4 linked regions of the Saccharomyces cerevisiae S288C genome follow. The protein of the gene in region 3 purifies or fractionates together with the protein of the main gene of each other region. This does not show direct contact. Each region holds a gene or a part of one and is shown on either strand. Other genes may lie near its edges. The genes, in order: NOP7, HAS1, RPF1 and NOG1.

Region 1 (4,887 bases), on a different chromosome or scaffold from region 3:
AATTTCAGTATCTTACAATTGGTGTGAAATTTTTTATGAAGCATGGTTTAATACTTGAGTTACAAAAAATTTGGCAAATAGAAGAAGCAGGCAATTCACAAATAACAAGCGGAGGGTTCCTTTTAAAAGCATACATCAATGTTAGTAGGGGGACCGATATCGATCGTATAAACTATACAGAGACTGCCTTGATGAACTTAAAAAAGGAACTACAAGGCTATATAGAGTTAAGTGTACCCGATAGACAGTCAATGGACTCGAGGGTAGCACATGGAAATATTCTAATATAATCATTGGCACCTGGGCATATTTTTACAAAATTCACTCATATAGTTATACAGAACAACAGTAACCACTTTTAATGTACAGGTATTTCTATATCTACAAACAAAAATGTGTAGTTATATATCTAATGTTGCTATACCGAGGAATTATAAAGTAATAAAGATGTTAAATTAAAAGACAAAATTTTTGAGAGGCTATTGGAAAAGAAGAGAAAACTATTTCTTGGAATCTAGTTTATTCAGTTTAGCTTTTTGTTTGGCAATTTGCTTCTTTTTCTTTTTTAAGTTCTCAGCTTGTTCCTCCTTTTTAGCATTAGAATACTTCATTTTTTTGTAAAGTTTCTTTTGTTTGTTACTCATCATTATCATTTTCAATTTCTTTTCTTCTTCTTCTTCATCCACCTTTCTCTTTTTGTTCTTTGACTTATTGACATCCTTATCAGCTTCTGAAGTTTCAGAATATTTGATACCTTGTGCTTCCAATTCAAGCTCTTTTTGAGCTTGTAGCTCTTCGTCATCGTCATCATCTTCTTCTCCAGCAACAACTTCTTGATCTTCCTCCTCAACTTGATCTTCACTTTCACTTTCACTTTCACTTTCTTCTTCTTCGCCTTCTTCGACAGGAGCAGTTGGATCGTAACCAATAGCATCACCCCATGGGCTTAAGTGAGGTGGAAGAGCCTCCCCTGGAAGATATTTGTTGGCAGGTACCAATTCGCCTTTATTGATACAATCAAATATCCACTGTGGCTGAATATACGTTCTGCCAGCTACCTTGTTTTTCAAAACTGGCCTGTCAACAATTTGATGAGTGACCTTGGACATGTCAATATCCTTCTTATTTTCAATTTGGTCCATAGCAGCTTCACTGATGACATTACCACCACAAGATAAGATCAAGAACTCAAGAATATCGATCGGAACTTCTCTGCTAACGTAAAAAACAAATGCAGAAAACAAAGAAGCAACAGGAGAATCGTACTTACTTGGCTGTATTAAGATGTCACCCTTGTTCTTATTGTTATCCTCGAAAGTATCTAGTTCCGTTTCCTCATTTTGTTCCTTTTCTTGTTCCTTTTCTTGTTTCTTTTCTTGTTCTTCCTCCTTTTCTGTTTCATCAGTATTTGCCTCATCGGCATTCAAGGCAGACTTTAATGTCGATGCGTCCAAACTTTCAACTTTTACGTCTTCCTCAATCTCAGTTGGGTCAAGTTTTAGTAGGCTGTCTTCTTGTCTGGATTCTAGAATATATGATGACAAACCACTTATGATTTTATCCTTTTTAAGATCCAATTTTGGCGGATAAATCAACCCACTATCGGTGTATAACTTATATAGGACGAAATGCAATAGAGTCGAGTAGAATTCTAAGAAGGTCAACATAATTCTGAAATCAACGTCACTGGGGATGTTTTCTGGAAACTTGAATGGAACTAACCATCTAACTTCTTCACCCTTAATATTGGCTTGATAATAAACACCTTTAATGGATACAAACACTTTACGAACCAAGCGTTCCTTGGCAACATAGGCTAACCATTGATTACAGATTTTCTGAGCATCATTGATAATTTTCGAGGAAACCTGGTTGGTAGAGGGCAAATTAGAGAAAAGAAATAACATATTCAAAGCATCATCAATATCCCTTATAGCATCTGGGAAACTTGGATAACGCTCCTTGATAATATGGTCTAAAGTATAACTATCTCTGTTTTCCTCTAACCTTTTAGCAGAAGAGACTTCTCCCCTACCCAAAGCCCTTGTTAGTTTCCTAGCAAAAGTCTTGTGTTCTCTAAATTTAGCCAAAACGGGCTCATGCATTAGATATTGAATATCCTTAGCATAGTAAAAAGTAGTTGGTGCAGTAGAGCCCTTGTTTGCCTTCTTTTTATTTCTTGGCTCTCTAGGATAGATACCTTTGAATATACATAATCTTCTGAAATCAGCAAGAGAAACCTGTAATTTTCTCACAGCTTGAGATCTGGTAATAAAGTTTCTTGCGTTACCTCTGGTGTTTTTCTTCTTGATTCTCATTGTATAAGTAGGATACCGCTGTTACTATACTATTTTCTACAGGAATAAAATGTATTCCACCAGCAGGATTTACTACACATCTCTAATTAACCTTCCAAAATTTTTCATTTTTTCTCATCTCATCTCATCGCAAAAAATTTTCTTTAATTTTTTCAGGCAATAATAATAGTCACCACAGACGACATGACATTATTCTGTAAATATAACATCAAGGAGGTAATAGTGACTAGCATTTAGGCTTTTAGATCGAACTATTTGCACTTACCCATAGTGCTAGAACGATGTACAAAACATGGCGTCTATGCAGAACACATACAGTGGGTGGGTTATGCCATGATGGAAGTCATCGGTTCGTATCTACGGGAGGGGCAAAGATTGGTAAAAAATTTGAAAATATGAATCAAATAAGGGATTATTTATCAAGACCTGTATGGTCCGTCCACGAATATTTAGGCATAAACACTAAAGAGGAAAAACTAGAGCCACCGTCTGCTGAAGCTGTAAAAAAATTGTTGCGGTTATCAGGTCTTCCCTTGGAAGGAGCAGATATTAAAGAAATTCAAATGCGACTTGCCAAGCAATTATCATTCATCAACAAACTCCATAACATACCTGTCGAAGGTGAAAAGCACACCAAGGAATATGATGCTCGGTTGGTGCAAAGAAATACGAAACAGCTGAACTACACAAAGCTACTTGAAGGCATCAGCCACCAAAAGCAGGATGCTGAGCTAGGAGAAGTTAGCGGATCTTGGAAAGCAACTGGACTTGCCGCGGAATCCAAAAATGCATATTTTGTTGTCAAAGAGGGACTACTCAAAAACAGGAAGTAAGACTTAGAAAAGTAACACATACGCTCTATTCTATATATTCTTTTGCCTATGAATTTTCTTGTACATGTACCACCACGATAAGGCTGAAATATTTTTCAAATGCATAAATAAGATTAAGTACATAGAAGACATAGCAGTATTTACAATATTTCGAATGAGAATGTGTCTTTTTTTAAGTGATTAAAACCACCTACCAGCAGCCTGAAGGCGACGCTGCCTTTGTTTCTCTACAGCTTTACTTATATACCATCCGTACAAGACCCCCATCATAGAGCCACCTAAATGCGCAGCGTAATCAAATGACCCCCATCTTAAAGCACAACCAGCTGCATTCCATGCCACTGAAGCCAAGAATGCTACCCAAGCCCCACCTGGGACTGGGAAAACAAACAGCAAAATTTTAGCGTGTGGGAATAGATATGAAAAACATCCTAAAACCCCAAATAGCGCTCCACTGGCACCCAAGCTAGGTCCGACAATGGCTAGGCGTGCCAGTTTTGGATACCATAACGAAAACAAAGAACCTGCAATGGCACTATTCATATATAAGGAGAAAAAATTGGATGCTCCCAACATTGTTGCGAGTGAAGTACCAAAGGACCACAACGCTAGCATGTTCATACCTAAGTGCCAGAATTCTTGATGTGAAAACGCACTTCCGATTATCGAAATTTTGCTAGTTACGTAATCCTTTTGCAGCAACATGTACTTCTGTAGAAACCTCCAGCATTTGGGTAGCTGCCATAGTCCAAATACGGCAACATTGATGCCTAATAACGCGTATACCAGATTCTTTGGATGCGTCTTAAAATACGTAAAGGGTGGAACGTGCTCGAACAAATAAGGGGAGCCAAAATATATTCCTGCCATTAAAGAGAGCCCCAAAATAGTCATAGAGCCCAGAGGATTGCCGCCGCTTCTCTGCTGCTGGTACTGCTGAAACCTGTTCAAACGTACGTATCGATTAGTAGTTTCTTCATTGAATATAGGCTTCCACCTTGATTTCAAAATTGATGTTTGAGAAAAGAACCGTTTCGGTATAATTTTCTGAAGATTTGTGACATTGTCCTCTAAGTTGGGAGCATTTTTGAGTATCGACGTGCTCTGGGATCTTCCAATATATGATACAAAAGTCCTCGAAGGTGAAACCGAAATATTACTGCGGAAAAAAATTCTTGTAGCAGGTCGAAGACCGAGCATAACAGAGCTTACACCTGACATGTTCACACTTGGGCAATTTATTACTTTTCACTGTCTGTATATGTCAGTTGCGAAAGCTGTACCCTTTTCAGTCGTGATTGCCACCTTTTCTATTTCACCGCCAATTATACTTCCAGACAAGAATTTAGGCTTTTTTCGCTCCGAAAATCCGCATTTATGAGAGTTATATGAGGGATCTTCACCAAATCCTGGCAAATATTGCTTTAAATATCTATATAAACACGTACAGATGTTTTAGGGTGACATAAAATTGATAAGCACGATTTCATGCTTCAAATTCAATAAGGTTGGACTTCTCTTCCGAGGAATTTGCCGACAAAGGCTCAAAAGACCTTTCTTGTATGGCTTTAGTGCTAGTTTCATTGGCATCGTCGATCTCAAACCAGGAACTTTGTAATAACTCTTCATTCTCGGGTTGATGCTCTGACGTGAAATCATCTAGATCATCGTACTTTTCTTCTTTGGTAGTTATTGAACTTGCAGCGGCTGTTGGCGTACTCTCTACAGAAGCAATG
Region 2 (4,416 bases), on a different chromosome or scaffold from region 3:
CCGATTATGACAGTGTTTCCACATACTTCATCAAAACGATGCTCAATGGATTTTTAATTGATAGCACAATAAATTGGGATGTTGTTGTTTCATCTGAACCATTGAACGCATCAGCTTTCACCAGTTTTAAAACCACTTCAAGAGATCATTACGCTAGGGCGAGAGTTCGCATGCAAACTGCTATAAATAACTTAAGAGGTTCAGAACCTACTTCTTCTGTCTCGCAATGCGAAATTTTATTTTCCAACAAATCTGGCCTGCTGATGGAAGGTTCAATAACAAACGTGGCTGTAATTCAAAAAGATCCTAACGGTTCTAAAAAGTATGTGACACCAAGATTAGCAACTGGATGTTTGTGCGGAACAATGCGTCATTATTTATTGCGGCTCGGCCTTATTGAAGAGGGAGATATAGATATAGGAAGCCTTACCGTTGGCAACGAAGTTTTGCTTTTCAATGGCGTCATGGGATGCATAAAGGGAACAGTGAAGACAAAATATTGAGCAGACGACAGATTTTCATATCAATGAAGTTTTTTTACAATAGTTTACAAATCATGATTTTACATACTCAAATATGTGCAGGTTGATACAGACAACGTACGTAGAAGACAACAAACAGAAAACAGCGGTTTATACATTTATTTAAATGACATACAGTGGAGAAGCAGAGAAAGGAAAAGGAGTGCGATGAGAACAGAAGATGAATACTTCGGTTGTGTTGGTTCCACGTACACATTAATAGCATTAAAAATTGATCCTCTGAAATTACTTATGAGTTTTACGTCTTTTGGTATTTGGCGTTTTTCCACTGGCACCAATTGTAATGTTAACCTTTGGAGGGACTGGAAAACCGTAAGACTTTGCTACTTTGGCTAAATCCAGCTTATCGATTTGATAGACAGTTTTCAAAGAGTGGGAAGCGTACGCTTGTAAATAAGATCTATAACCATCCTTGGCTGTTTGATGTAGATAATAGTTGGATTTAATTAATTTTTCTAATTGTGATTGAACGTTTGCAATTTTGTTTTCCGGGAATTCGTACTCATTTAATGGGACCTTGGAAGCCTTTAGATATCTTAAAAACCCTAATTCATTAGGTGTTAAAAACATTAAAGATTTACCCTTACCTTTAGTGCCTCTTGCGGTTCTTCCGACTCTATGAATATAATCTCTTGGATCATCAGGAGGGTCGAATTGAATGATCCAGTCCACAGCAGGGATATCTAGCCCTCTAGCTGCGACATCTGTACAAATCAAGATACCTCTTTCCGCATTACAGAATTCGAAAAATGTATTTGTTCTCTTTTGTTGTTTTTGCTTACCGTGTAATTCGAGGACTGGCAAATCAATATAGTTCAATAATTCAGCGTAATATTTCACAGAGTTACAAGATGATAAAAATACAATAATTTTCTTTTTTTGATTTCTTTTCAAGAAAGAAAATAACAACAAAAATCTCTTATCACTGTCACATACCACATAGCCTTGTTCTAATCCATCTGCGGTGGAGTTGTCGGTTTCAGGAACGACATTAATGAAAAGAGGGCCCGGTCTCAGCGAGATTCTAGCCAAATCCTCAACTTTGGTCGTTTGTGTAGCTGAAAATAACATGGATTGCCTATCTTCGTTTGGCAAGATCTTAATTATCTGCCTCATTTCATCTTCAAACCCAATTTCTAAGATTCTGTCCGCTTCATCGATAATCAAAGCCTTCAAGTTCTTGAATACAAATCCTTTTGTATTTTGTAAGTGATCCAATAATCTTCCAGGGGTAGCAATCAACATGTTAACACCTTTCATCAATTTTTCGGCTTCCTGTCTTCTATTTGCACCACCAATGACAATACCAAATGTCTGTGAATGGAATTCCATTAACTCTCTTGCCACTCCAAAAATCTGTAAAGCCAACTCTCTTGTAGGCGTAATGACAATTATACCGGTACCATTTCTTGGTTTGAATTTCAAAGAATGCAATAGTTCAATAGCAGGGATGAGAAACGCTAGAGTTTTACCAGAACCTGTCTTGGCAGCACCAAGAACATCCCTACCGGCCAAAAGAGGTGGGATAGTCCTTGCCTGAACAGAAGTCATAGTGGTAAATCCCATCTTTTCAATGGCCTTTAAAGTTGGCTGTGATAACTTTAGTTCTTCGAACTTTTCCACACAAGTAGTTTGTTCTCCCTCAGGTGCGGCATTGTTTTGTTTTGAAGTGCTCTTTTCATCTACTACAGGTTCTTCTGTAGATTCAGAATCTCTAGAACGTTTATTTGACGGGGTAGCCATACTTCTCCTGTTAATATTGCTCAGCTTATCTAATTATTATAGTATACAGTTATCCAATAGCTATGTACTCAAGTACCGTGTATACACTATAAAATCTCATCTCATCGCTAAAGCTAATATTGAAAAAAAAAAAAAAAAAAAAAAGAAAAAGCAAATAAAAAATTTTCAATTCGGGTAACGAAGAATCGACTCTCGCCGGGTAAACAATTCTTAGTCGTCATACACTCCTCTTTACGTTAAGAAAATAGAAGTAGCAGCGCTTTGTAAAGCATTAAAGCGTCATGGATTGCAAAATACACATAATATATCACTTGTGATAGTGAGAAATGGAATGAAGTGGTTTAAGATGCTCTTTTACCAATAAACATATTGCGCCTATCAAATCATTTTCCACCCCTGTTAACTGATACAGATATAGCCTTACATATAACTTTTGCACTCCCTAAAATTACCATGGCTGTTCACCGCCTGCTATCATCCATGTTTTTACATACATCTATTAGGTTTGCCATCTTAGCCGCCGAAGCTATCGTTGCCGGTACAGGCGCTCCTTGAATAACCCCCTCCCCCCCACGCTATTCTTCAAATTCCGATTTCAGCTTCTCTTTGTTTTTCCTTTTTTGGCACCTCGGAAAAACCTCCACGTGTTAGGTTATTCCGCCGATTCCACGGGTGGGGTGCTACCAAGACTCCTGAAAAAGAAACTGTATGACGAAAAGAAAAAAAAAAAGCTGCTTGAATTCCAACACCGCTTTCTTGTTCTGACAATAGAAAGGGGGATTCCTAAAAAAAGAAAAAGAGGGCGGGGTTTATCATGTACTCAGAATATGAAAACGTGTCGAACGGGGATGACTTCTTCTGCTTCTTTACTTCTTTCTATTTAGAGTGACAGTTTTTTTATTTGTTTTGCTAACTTGTTTATTTATTAATTTCTTGTTTGCTCCTTCAGTTACCTACCACGACTGTCTCAGCCAAACCGCGATATTTTCATACAATTGACATTACAACAGTTCAAAAAGAAAAATACACATCCAGGATATGACTACAGCTAGTTCTTCTGCTTCCCAGCTACAACAGCGCCTGCCGGAAGAAAAACCTTGGCCGCAACTGAGTGGCAGCAATGCAGACGCTCAAACCTTCAAATGTAAATACGTAACCAACCACAACTCCTTGGGCGATGGGAATTTTAGCGTCGTGAAAGAATGTATGAATATACACACAAAGGATTTGTACGCGATGAAGCTTATTAAGAAACAAACTGTCAAGAACAAAATTCAACTTATTCAAAGAGAGTTCGACCTTTTGAGGTCAATAAGCGAGAAAATCAGAGATATGGAAAAAAAGAATGAACATTCTTTGGACATTTTTGAGGGGCATCACCATATTTTACAACTTTTCGACTATTTTGAGACGGCAGATAACATTGTCCTGATCACTCAGCTGTGTCAGAAGGGAGATTTGTATGAAAAAATTGTTGAAAATCAGTGTTTAGACCTCGAAACTCAAGTTACCTCGTACTGCGCCTGTTTGGTGAGCGTTCTCGAGTTTTTGCATTCTCAAGGTATTGTTCATAGAGACTTGAAAGCAGAAAACGTCTTATTCAGATTGAGAGTGAACGAAAACGAAAAAAACCTACAGGGTGAACACCACGGAGATTTCAAATACGATCTCTTGGCACACGACCTAGTTCTCGCCGATTTTGGTCTTGCTGCTGAATATAACACAAGTAAGGTAAACTCGTTAAAGGAGTTTGTTGGAACCATCTCGTATATTGCTCCAGAAATCGTCAAGTGCAAAGGTGTCGGTGAAATGACTCCTGATCAAGTTGGCAAACTAGACAAGTATGGTTGTCCGGTGGATATATGGGCCCTTGGTGTACTGACATATTTCATGGCCTTCGGCTATACGCCCTTTGACTGTACCACAGACGACGAAACTCTGGAATGTATTTCAAAATGTGACTATTACGTCGACGAACAAATGATGCACGACCCTAAATACGAACAATTTTGGAATTTTGTTCAATGCTGTTTTACTATTGACCCGGCCGTTAGGCGTTCTGCTAAGAATTTGAAACAGCATCCCTTTATTAAGGATTATTTTGCTACTTCAAATTCTTTGAATACTAAGG
Region 3 (4,122 bases):
ATAATTTTTAACCAAAAGAAAATAATGAGTTTCAGAGGAGGTAATAGAGGTGGCCGTGGCGGCTTCCGTGGCGGCTTTCGTGGTGGACGTACAGGCAGTGCTAGATCATTTCAACAAGGACCACCAGACACTGTTCTAGAAATGGGAGCTTTTCTACATCCATGTGAGGGTGATATTGTTTGCCGTTCTATCAACACTAAGATTCCATATTTCAATGCGCCAATATATTTGGAAAACAAGACTCAAGTCGGTAAAGTTGACGAAATATTGGGTCCATTAAACGAAGTATTTTTCACTATCAAGTGTGGTGACGGTGTCCAAGCAACCAGTTTTAAAGAAGGTGATAAATTCTACATTGCCGCTGACAAACTATTGCCTATTGAAAGATTTTTACCTAAGCCTAAGGTGGTAGGCCCACCAAAACCAAAAAACAAGAAGAAGAGAAGTGGTGCCCCAGGTGGCCGTGGTGGTGCTTCAATGGGTCGCGGTGGTAGCAGAGGAGGTTTCAGAGGAGGCCGTGGTGGTAGTTCTTTCAGAGGAGGCCGTGGTGGCAGTTCTTTCAGAGGTGGATCTCGTGGCGGATCATTTAGAGGAGGATCTCGTGGCGGATCTCGTGGTGGTTTCAGAGGAGGTAGAAGATAATCTAGCTAGAAAAAAATAAAAAAAAAAACCATCCTTTATCTTTCACAATTCTTCATTTCTTCCAACTTACTATATCTGCCGAAGCACGTCTAACGTCGAAAAAAAAAAAAAGAAATTACCGTTTGTTCTGTATACTATATATATATATATTTGTTTGATTGATTTACCTGTAATAAATTGATTTAAAATGAAAAAAAGAGAAATTCAGTAATACCAGAAGCCGCCGTAGTTAAACAAACGACCACGGTTCTTACGGTTGTCTTAATATTATATCCATACAAAGTTTACGAATGGAACACTATAAATAAAACTTTTTCTTTTCTTTGTCCATCTCAGGTTTATGCTCCCATTCAGTTTCTTCCTTAATACCCCTTTGCAATCTTTTCAACTTGAGGGTAAATTGTGGACCCAGTTCTTGCAAACCAACCCTTTCATTATCTTTGAAGACATACCGATGCCTTCTGAAGAAAATGTAATCTCTTTGATTATGTAGGGTGATAACTTGTCGACCTTCAATATCAGGATTCTGAGGTAAAATGGACTGAAACAACCTACCTACTGTTTGACCCAATCTGGTCTGGAAATTATTTAGAATCAATTCTGGAATATGGCTAGTTGGTCTACCATGACCGACAATTTTCTTCACTTCAACAAATGATGATAATTTAAAATAAAAAGTTGGGCCCTCTGGCAGATGTATGAATGTTAGGCCAGTAACCTTTTTCTTGTCCTCGTTGATTATCACGATGTCAGTGAAATTCCTTTTTATACAAATATCAGATATTTCCTTCAATTTGTAGCCAAATTTTCTTTTCACAAATGTGACGTTTGGTAAAATTTCGATTAAAATGTTAGCAAATTCATAAGCGCTCTTCTTAGCGTTTACATTTGTGGTCAGAAAGATCTTTGGTGGCTCATTAGAATTGCTGTTGAAGTATCTCATCAAATCGTCTTCATCTCCCTCCACTTCCTTGTTAATGGTCTCATCGTACACTCTAGTGTTCTCTATCGTCTGTGTTACGTTCTCTTTTAATCTCTGCTCCCGCAGCTCCGGATTCTCTCTCTCTTCCTTAGCTCTCTTTCTTCTCATGGTATGGCGCTCTTTATTTTTTTCATGTTTTATATCAGCAAAAATTTCTTGCCTCTTTAGCTTGTTTGTGATGTTTATCTCATTACCGAGAGCCATTTTTTAGTATTTCAATATATTAAGCCTGCTTTACCTCTTCCTTAGGTGTTCAATCGTAAAGTATAGCTTATGGCATCGCATTTCTTTTTACATCTCATCGCTAAAAATTTTACTTTTCCTTTGTATAAATAATCATGTGTGACGAACGCGAAAATGAAAAATGCACTGAATTAAATGTATACAACGTTATATAGATCGTAAATATGTATATTGAAATATACACCTTTTTGTTCTTTCTACTACTGTAAAAGAAGAATGCATGCGTTATGACAGGGCAGCACGCCAATTTAACTTATTGCATATTTCAATGCAGGCTGTCCAGACAGAAGGAAAAGCTACTCAATTGTAGGCTTTGGTTCCGGCGTTACCCCCTTTGGTTTTGAGACTAGAGGTGGTAGAGTTTGGCTTACCATTTCTCAATATCAAATCGATAACTTCTTCGATCTTCTTGCCCTTACCGAACTCATTTTCCACTTGGGCCTTGGAGGCAGCGCCCAACTCACCCTCGGCACCCCTACCGTCCTGAGGAGTGAAAACTTCGAAGAGTTCGACAACTTCAGATAGCTTACCAATTGATGGATTTTTCAAATATTCGTCTACAAGCTCTTCGGATGCAGCGAAGACAATCAAATCTGTATTTTCACCCTTGTAAAAGTATTTGGTTACAGTAGACATGTTGATTTTATTTTGTGTATGCGATGGTTTTCTTATTTTTATCAGCTTGTTCAAAGTATGAATTTGTTGATAGCTGCTTTTTTATTAGTCAAGAATTGAGTTTAAAGAACATTGGCTTGTGATCATCATCGAAATTGATTCTCATCACTTAAATATCTTTTGCTCCCTGTTTCTGGCGATCCCTTCGACTAAATAAGGGGTCGTTGTTGTTACGTACGGCCCAACAGGGTAGTGCCTGCTCTAGCGTCGAAGTTAGAGGAAAAGAAGCTTAGAGAATAAAAACATTTACTAGTAGTAAGGGGTCTTATTGTCAGAAAGGGACAATTGCGTGGGCAGTATTTTCAAAGAGTGGCTTTCTTCTTCTGAACGGAGTTTCAACCTGCGCTTTCTTTTCCTCCTGCTAGGATTTATTTGTGAGAAAACGAAACTAGCTATAGAAACGCGTAGCACCGGCAGGCCGAAAACCGCTACTACGTAAAGGGGAATGAAAATGGGCCAAATTTGGTGTAAAGATATAGGAGAAGAGACACGGAGTAGGAATTCGCCGTGCCCCTATACAGAGACAACATGAATAGAGAGACAAACGCATTACGTAGTCTTGGAAGATAGCGCAACGGGAAATCTTGACACAGTAAGAAACATTTACAGTATAATAATACTAAAAATAAAATTAAGATACATCAATATAAAATTTTCGACAAATACAGAAAAGAACAGAGAAGAAAAAATGAAGGTGACGCAAAAAAGGAATTGACAGGCCGTAATGAGTAGTGATGGAAAGAAGGTAAATGGAAGTAATAAAGGAAAATCATAAACATGCTTAAAAGCGTACAATCTTGAATTGAATTAAGAATAACAATAACCTTGAAAGAAATGAAAATCAAAAGGAAAAACGCAACTATAACGATACAAAAAAGACTTAATAAAAGGACATGGAATCTTGAAAACGATAAAAAGCAATGAAAAAAAGAAAATAAAGCGCTGTTATATCACCGTCAGCCTAAGACCAAATACAATTTAACACTGAAGTAAAGAAAATACCAAGAAAGAAAAAGGGCCAAAAGGAAAACAAACATTTTTATATACACGTGTGGCTCAAGCAAACATAAAACCATTACTGCCTTGTTCCAAACGGTTTAACATTGCATTAGTGCTGTTAACAACCGCTTCGCTTCCTTGCATGATAACTTGTTGGCCACCCGTGCCTGAGAGGTCCATAGAGCTAGTGTCAGCCAGTAAACTAGTAGCTTGCGTATTTGTAGCATTATTATTACTGTAGAAACTGAAATTGTTCGAGCCTAATCCATTCGCATTAGCGTATGGATTAGAATAATTCAGAATTTGACATCCAGGAAGCATCGTGGATGAAACATTATTATCTGGCAGAACAGGTGCTTCACACGTACTGGATGGAATGTATCCGTAGTTAGGTTGCTGTAAACCTGGTTGCTGTTGTTGAACCTGTAAAGAGTTACTTAACATGGCTTGCTGAAGCAACGCTGTTTGCTTAGCAGACCTGCCCCAAGACAGTCTAACTCTTGAATTTGCAATGGGGAACCCTTGCATCCCAGCAATGGCAGCCTCAGCCGATAGCCGATCAACATACTGGACAAACCCGC
Region 4 (5,293 bases), on a different chromosome or scaffold from region 3:
TGTAGGAGCATATTCTTAGCCACCTTGCAGGATATGGGAAGCTATATAGAATATTCGATGAAATGCCGACACCCATGACCATCATAAACATGAAGGGGTCAAACTGCCTCGTAAGAGCAAGTACCCAATTGGCAACCATTTTTTTCTTGTACTTGTCTTCTCTTACACTATAAAACGTTTTTAAATTGCGCGTATTGTCTGAGCTCAATCAACAATCGTTACTAGGGGAAAGCTGTAATTTGTGTGTTGTCTAAATGCGGAGAATTTGTTCAGCCAATATCACAAGTTTCAACTTAACAAGACAAGGATTAGAAATAAGAACTACACGCTGGTTGGCTATTCTTTTAGAACCTCTAGTTAAATAGGTAAAATAAGCAAAGTGAGCAAAAATAAGCAAAAGAAGTCAAAGACAACCCCAATGTGCCAAAGACGGCGATGAGTCTTCTGTTTTTTAAGATTCATGCACTCTCAGATTTTCGGCTACAGACGCGGCACAAGGATGAAAAAAAAAAAATGATAGTTTGCAGGAATTTATCAGTCAATTGATGGGAGACATCGCTATTGTTGCCTTATACGATACACTGCAAAAACGATAACAATTTCTTATTTGTCAACCTCGTGGGAGACTCGATAGGTTGCATGATGATGTGTCACAAAAAAGTAGAAGTGTCATCTTGACGCTATCCCACCCCTTCTTTTTCCACATGCTTAATTATTTGTATACATCCAGTGACATACAAAAAAATAGTAGAACATGGAGGGGTCGGCTTGTTGGATAATTTAAATCGGTTTATTATTATTATACAGATTAAATAAAATTTTTTTAAAAAAAAGATACAGAAAAAGTGAGAAAGAAAGAAAAAGAAACCACTAATAGTGAGAGAGATAATCAAATGTAAATGGTAATCCTACCAGCCCAAAAAGATTAGAATGTCGTGTACGTACATCCACATTTTATATTCATATTTTTTTTAAAGTACATGCAAAAGAAAGAATAAGAAGTAGAGAAATCAACGGAAATCTGTCTTACCGACACCACGCTTACCACTGAATAAATGCTTTGATAAGGAAACAGCATTGTGTCTATCAGATTCACCTTGCTTGGCATGTCTATTTCTTTCTCTTCTTTCCATCTTGGCCATCCTGTCGGCCTTGGATCTCATGGAGCCATCAGCAACACCATCCAACAGTCTATCGGTTTGTCTCAACTTGACACCGTTTTCAGTGGAAGCTGTCAAAGCATCTTGGTCGCCAAAAACAACATCAGAACCTCTTTCAACATAACGGTTCTTACGAGCAGCACGGTTCTGTTTATCTTGTAAGGCTGACATGTCATGGCCCAAAGTGGACATGTGTTCTTCCATTTTACCAAAGGACTTAGTTAGTTTAGAACGTGGCATGATAGCTTTGTTCTTCAAGGACTTCCTATTTCTTGCTTCAGCAATCATCGTCTTTTGTCTATTTCTAATCCATGCAGCTTTCTCCTTGATATCATCTACTTCGGATGCTTCGAAACCGTCGTAGATTTCTTCCTCATCGTCAGAATTGTAGAACCCTTCGTTCTCCAATTTTTCTTCTTCTTCTTCAAGAGCCTGCAGTTTAGCAGCGATTTCAGGGTCCAAGAAATCATAAACATTCTTACCATCCAAGATTTCTGGCATGATGTCATTCTTCCACTCATCATCTTCTAATAGGTACTTGTCCTTCAAGTTAACATTGAAGACACCAGCACCACCATTTTCAGCTTCGATGTCTCTGGCCAACTTTCTCCTGTTTGGATCTTCAGGGTCGTATTTCTTCAAATTCTTGACAGATTCTGGGATAAATGGTGTTCTCTTGACATCATCTCTTGCTTGAGGTTGAGCAACATGAATCTTGTTCAGAACATTGTTGATTCTAGACTGAGATTTCAACTTATTCTCAATTCTAGAAGCCAATAGTTTTTCACATGCTTTGTTTCTAACTTCCATAACGTTTTCTTCCAGTTGGCATGAAGAAGTCATGATTTCAACACCTGGAACCTCCTTAACAGATTCCAGTAATTGTGCACGCTCTTCGTCTAAATCCTCCGGTCTGATAATGTCGGTTTTGTTGATAACAACCATGACAGACTTGTTGGCGAATAGAGGCTTGATGGAGTGGAATAGTTTAACTTGAGCTTCGATGGTGAAACCACATTGTTCGGAAAGATCCATGAAGTACAAAACACAAGAACGTAAATGGGCAATGGCATAAATCGATTGCATTTCAATGTTGTTCATTTCTTCAGTGGGTCTATCTAGGATACCAGGGGTGTCAATAGCTTGAAATCTCAAGTATTTGTAGTCAAAATGACCAACGTATAAACTCTTGGTTGTGAAAGCATATGGTTGAACATCGACGTCTGATTTGGTAATGCATCTCAAAAACGAGGACTTACCGACATTTGGATAACCACAGATCAGCAAGGTTCTGGTATTTGGGTCGATCGATGGTAATCTACCAATGTGCTGTCTGACTTGTTCCAAATAGGCCAATGGGTCCCTCAATTTCTTGACTATAGTTGCCATTCTACCTAAAGCGGCCCTTTTCAATTGTTTACATTGAAATAAAGATTGACCGAATTTTAGCAATCTGACATAATCTCTGGCGACTTGTTCCACAAGGGACTTCGCACGAGATATAGCTGCCAAAGATATCTTGTAATGATTCTTTTCGTATAGGGTGTCCATCAAATCTCTATGGAAAGGATGCACGTCATTGATGTTAGGAAAACCCTTTAAAATGTCCTCAAATTTTTCCACGAAACCTTCACCTGTGTATTTAACTTTACGCATATAGAACGCTCTGATTCTTGTAATCTTGAAACCAGGTCTGATCACAGTTGGTGTCTTTCTCTGGGTTCTGTTCAAGACAATATCCAGCAAATCATTTGCTGGAGCGACAGTAGGGATATCCTTCCATGAAAGTTGCATCTTCGGTATAGGAGGGAGATGTGTTTGCTTTTGGAGGGTACACTTACTTTTTTATAAACGCTGCAACTCCTAAATCTGAAGTGTATTCTTTATATTGTATTAGATGAGGTAGTACATAGGTGAAAATTTTTCTTTGCGATGAGCTGCGGAAAAAACTTTTCGTTCAGTTGAAAAAAAAAAAGAAAGTGAAGATCGTGTGCGACGGAATAGACGTGTCGTTTTCCCAATACTGGCATACAAATCAAGAGGGAGAAGAGTGGGCTTTTATAATTGCAGTTGAATGCAGTATGGTAGCCGAGCAAACACAGGAGAACATGTCAGCCGTAGGTCCAGGTAGCAATGCAGGTGCTAGTGTCAATGGCGGATCTGCTACAGCCATTGCTACTCTTTTACGCAACCATAAGGAGTTGAAGCAAAGGCAGGGTTTATTCCAGGCCAAGCAGACAGACTTCTTCCGTTACAAGAGATTTGTTAGGGCACTGCATTCTGAGGAGTATGCCAACAAATCTGCAAGACAGCCAGAGATATATCCAACTATACCTTCTAACAAGATCGAAGACCAGCTTAAGTCACGTGAAATCTTTATTCAACTTATAAAGGCACAAATGGTGATCCCAGTGAAAAAATTGCATAGTCAAGAATGCAAAGAGCATGGATTGAAGCCAAGCAAGGACTTTCCGCACTTGATTGTTTCGAATAAAGCACAATTGGAAGCCGATGAATACTTTGTTTGGAACTATAACCCTAGAACCTACATGGATTACTTGATCGTCATTGGTGTCGTGTCCATCATATTGGCGCTCGTATGCTACCCATTGTGGCCGCGCTCCATGAGACGCGGCTCCTATTATGTGTCTCTGGGTGCCTTCGGCATCTTAGCAGGCTTCTTTGCTGTCGCTATCCTGAGATTGATATTATATGTTTTGTCATTAATTGTCTACAAAGATGTTGGTGGGTTCTGGATCTTTCCCAACCTGTTCGAAGATTGCGGTGTACTAGAGAGTTTTAAGCCACTTTACGGTTTTGGTGAGAAGGATACTTATAGTTACAAAAAGAAACTGAAAAGAATGAAGAAGAAACAAGCCAAGAGAGAAAGCAATAAGAAGAAAGCCATCAATGAAAAAGCCGAACAAAACTGAACTTCCATTATCCTGTATAGCTCTACTGTATAAACCTTCTATATTGTAACCTCATGAACTCGCACATGTACAAACCTTCAAGAGAACCGGCACCAAAGCGCTACCATCTGGTTGCTTCATCGCTTATAGTGAGTAGTTTTAGATTTGAAGGTTATCGCTCCTGGCAAAAATCTGAATCCACACACCGCATAATTAGCGGTTATTATTACTCAATTTCCGGCCGGCTTTAATATACTTTCACCGAAAGGTCTCTATATAGAAGCTATTTGCTGACACTTGCTTACAGGAATCGATTATATAAGAAGGGTTCTGCATCTGGTTGCCTACTTAGTTTTCGGTATTTTTGAAGATTAGCAAAAAGATCAAGATATCAAGTATTTTCATATTTGTCATTTTAATGTTTCGCTCGGGTTACTATCCAACTGTCACTCCTAGCCATTGGGGCTATAACGGCACCGTCAAACATGTACTGGGAGAGAAAGGAACCAAGTCTTTGGCTTTCAGAGATTCTAAGCGCCAAATTCCTCTTCATGAATTCGTAACCAAACACGTGCCTACACTCAAAGATGGTGCAAATTTTAGGTTAAACAGCTTGCTTTTCACAGGTTACTTACAGACCCTTTATTTGTCAGCCGGTGATTTTTCCAAAAAATTTCAGGTATTTTATGGAAGAGAGATTATAAAATTTTCTGATGGAGGGGTCTGCACTGCAGATTGGGTTATGCCTGAATGGGAGCAAACATATTCATTAAATGCTGAAAAGGCTAGTTTTAACGAGAAACAATTTTCGAACGATGAAAAGGCCACCCATCCAAAGGGTTGGCCTCGTCTTCACCCGAGAACTAGATATCTATCCTCTGAGGAACTTGAAAAATGTCATTCTAAGGGTTATTCTTACCCTTTAGTGGTAGTACTTCATGGTCTTGCAGGGGGAAGCCATGAGCCTCTCATCAGGGCATTATCTGAAGATCTATCAAAAGTCGGTGACGGTAAATTCCAAGTGGTAGTCCTTAATGCTAGAGGTTGCTCAAGATCTAAAGTCACCACCCGTAGAATCTTTACCGCATTACACACAGGTGATGTGAGAGAATTTTTGAACCACCAAAAAGCTCTATTTCCGCAAAGAAAAATATATGCAGTCGGAACATCATTTGGAGCAGCCATGCTAACGAACTACTTAGGTGAAGAAGGAGATAACTG

The links.
Region 1: the proteins of RPF1 (region 3) and NOP7 purify together in Saccharomyces cerevisiae (affinity purification with mass spectrometry; 6 studies listed by BioGRID, with this or other methods). This does not show direct contact.
Region 2: the proteins of RPF1 (region 3) and HAS1 purify together in Saccharomyces cerevisiae (affinity purification with mass spectrometry; 6 studies listed by BioGRID, with this or other methods). This does not show direct contact.
Region 4: the proteins of RPF1 (region 3) and NOG1 purify together in Saccharomyces cerevisiae (affinity purification with mass spectrometry; 5 studies listed by BioGRID, with this or other methods). This does not show direct contact.

The regions. Positions count from the first base shown.
Region 1 is NC_001139.9:692,848-697,734, reverse strand, and holds NOP7 (mRNA-binding ribosome synthesis protein NOP7), read right to left. Parts: upstream 2,319-4,887; coding exon 501-2,318; downstream 1-500. Other genes in the region: SRB5 (Srb5p), read left to right, coding at 1-290; GTF1 (glutamyl-tRNA(Gln) amidotransferase subunit F), read left to right, coding at 2,600-3,151; rhomboid protease PCP1, read right to left, coding at 3,332-4,372; GTPase-activating protein MDR1, read right to left, coding at 4,638-4,887. UniProt on the Saccharomyces cerevisiae protein: Component of the NOP7 complex, which is required for maturation of the 25S and 5.8S ribosomal RNAs and formation of the 60S ribosome.
Region 2 is NC_001145.3:849,307-853,722, forward strand, and holds HAS1 (ATP-dependent RNA helicase HAS1), read right to left. Parts: upstream 2,286-4,416; coding exon 768-2,285; downstream 1-767. Other genes in the region: aminodeoxychorismate lyase ABZ2, read left to right, coding at 1-503; protein kinase TDA1, read left to right, coding at 3,324-4,416. UniProt on the Saccharomyces cerevisiae protein: ATP-dependent RNA helicase involved in 40S ribosomal subunit biogenesis. Required for the processing and cleavage of 35S pre-rRNA at sites A0, A1, and A2, leading to mature 18S rRNA.
Region 3 is NC_001140.6:279,201-283,322, reverse strand, and holds RPF1 (rRNA-binding ribosome biosynthesis protein RPF1), read right to left. Parts: upstream 1,829-4,122; coding exon 941-1,828; downstream 1-940. Other genes in the region: H/ACA snoRNP pseudouridylase subunit GAR1, read left to right, coding at 25-642; RTC3 (Rtc3p), read right to left, coding at 2,168-2,503; YHR086W-A (uncharacterized protein), read right to left, coding at 2,931-3,092; NAM8 (Nam8p), read right to left, coding at 3,599-4,122. UniProt on the Saccharomyces cerevisiae protein: Essential protein. Required for biogenesis of the 60S ribosomal subunit.
Region 4 is NC_001148.4:368,639-373,931, reverse strand, and holds NOG1 (putative GTPase NOG1), read right to left. Parts: upstream 2,955-5,293; coding exon 1,011-2,954; downstream 1-1,010. Other genes in the region: SSU1 (Ssu1p), read right to left, coding at 1-139; Sec63 complex subunit SEC62, read left to right, coding at 3,269-4,093; EEB1 (medium-chain fatty acid ethyl ester synthase/esterase), read left to right, coding at 4,491-5,293. UniProt on the Saccharomyces cerevisiae protein: Involved in the biogenesis of the 60S ribosomal subunit.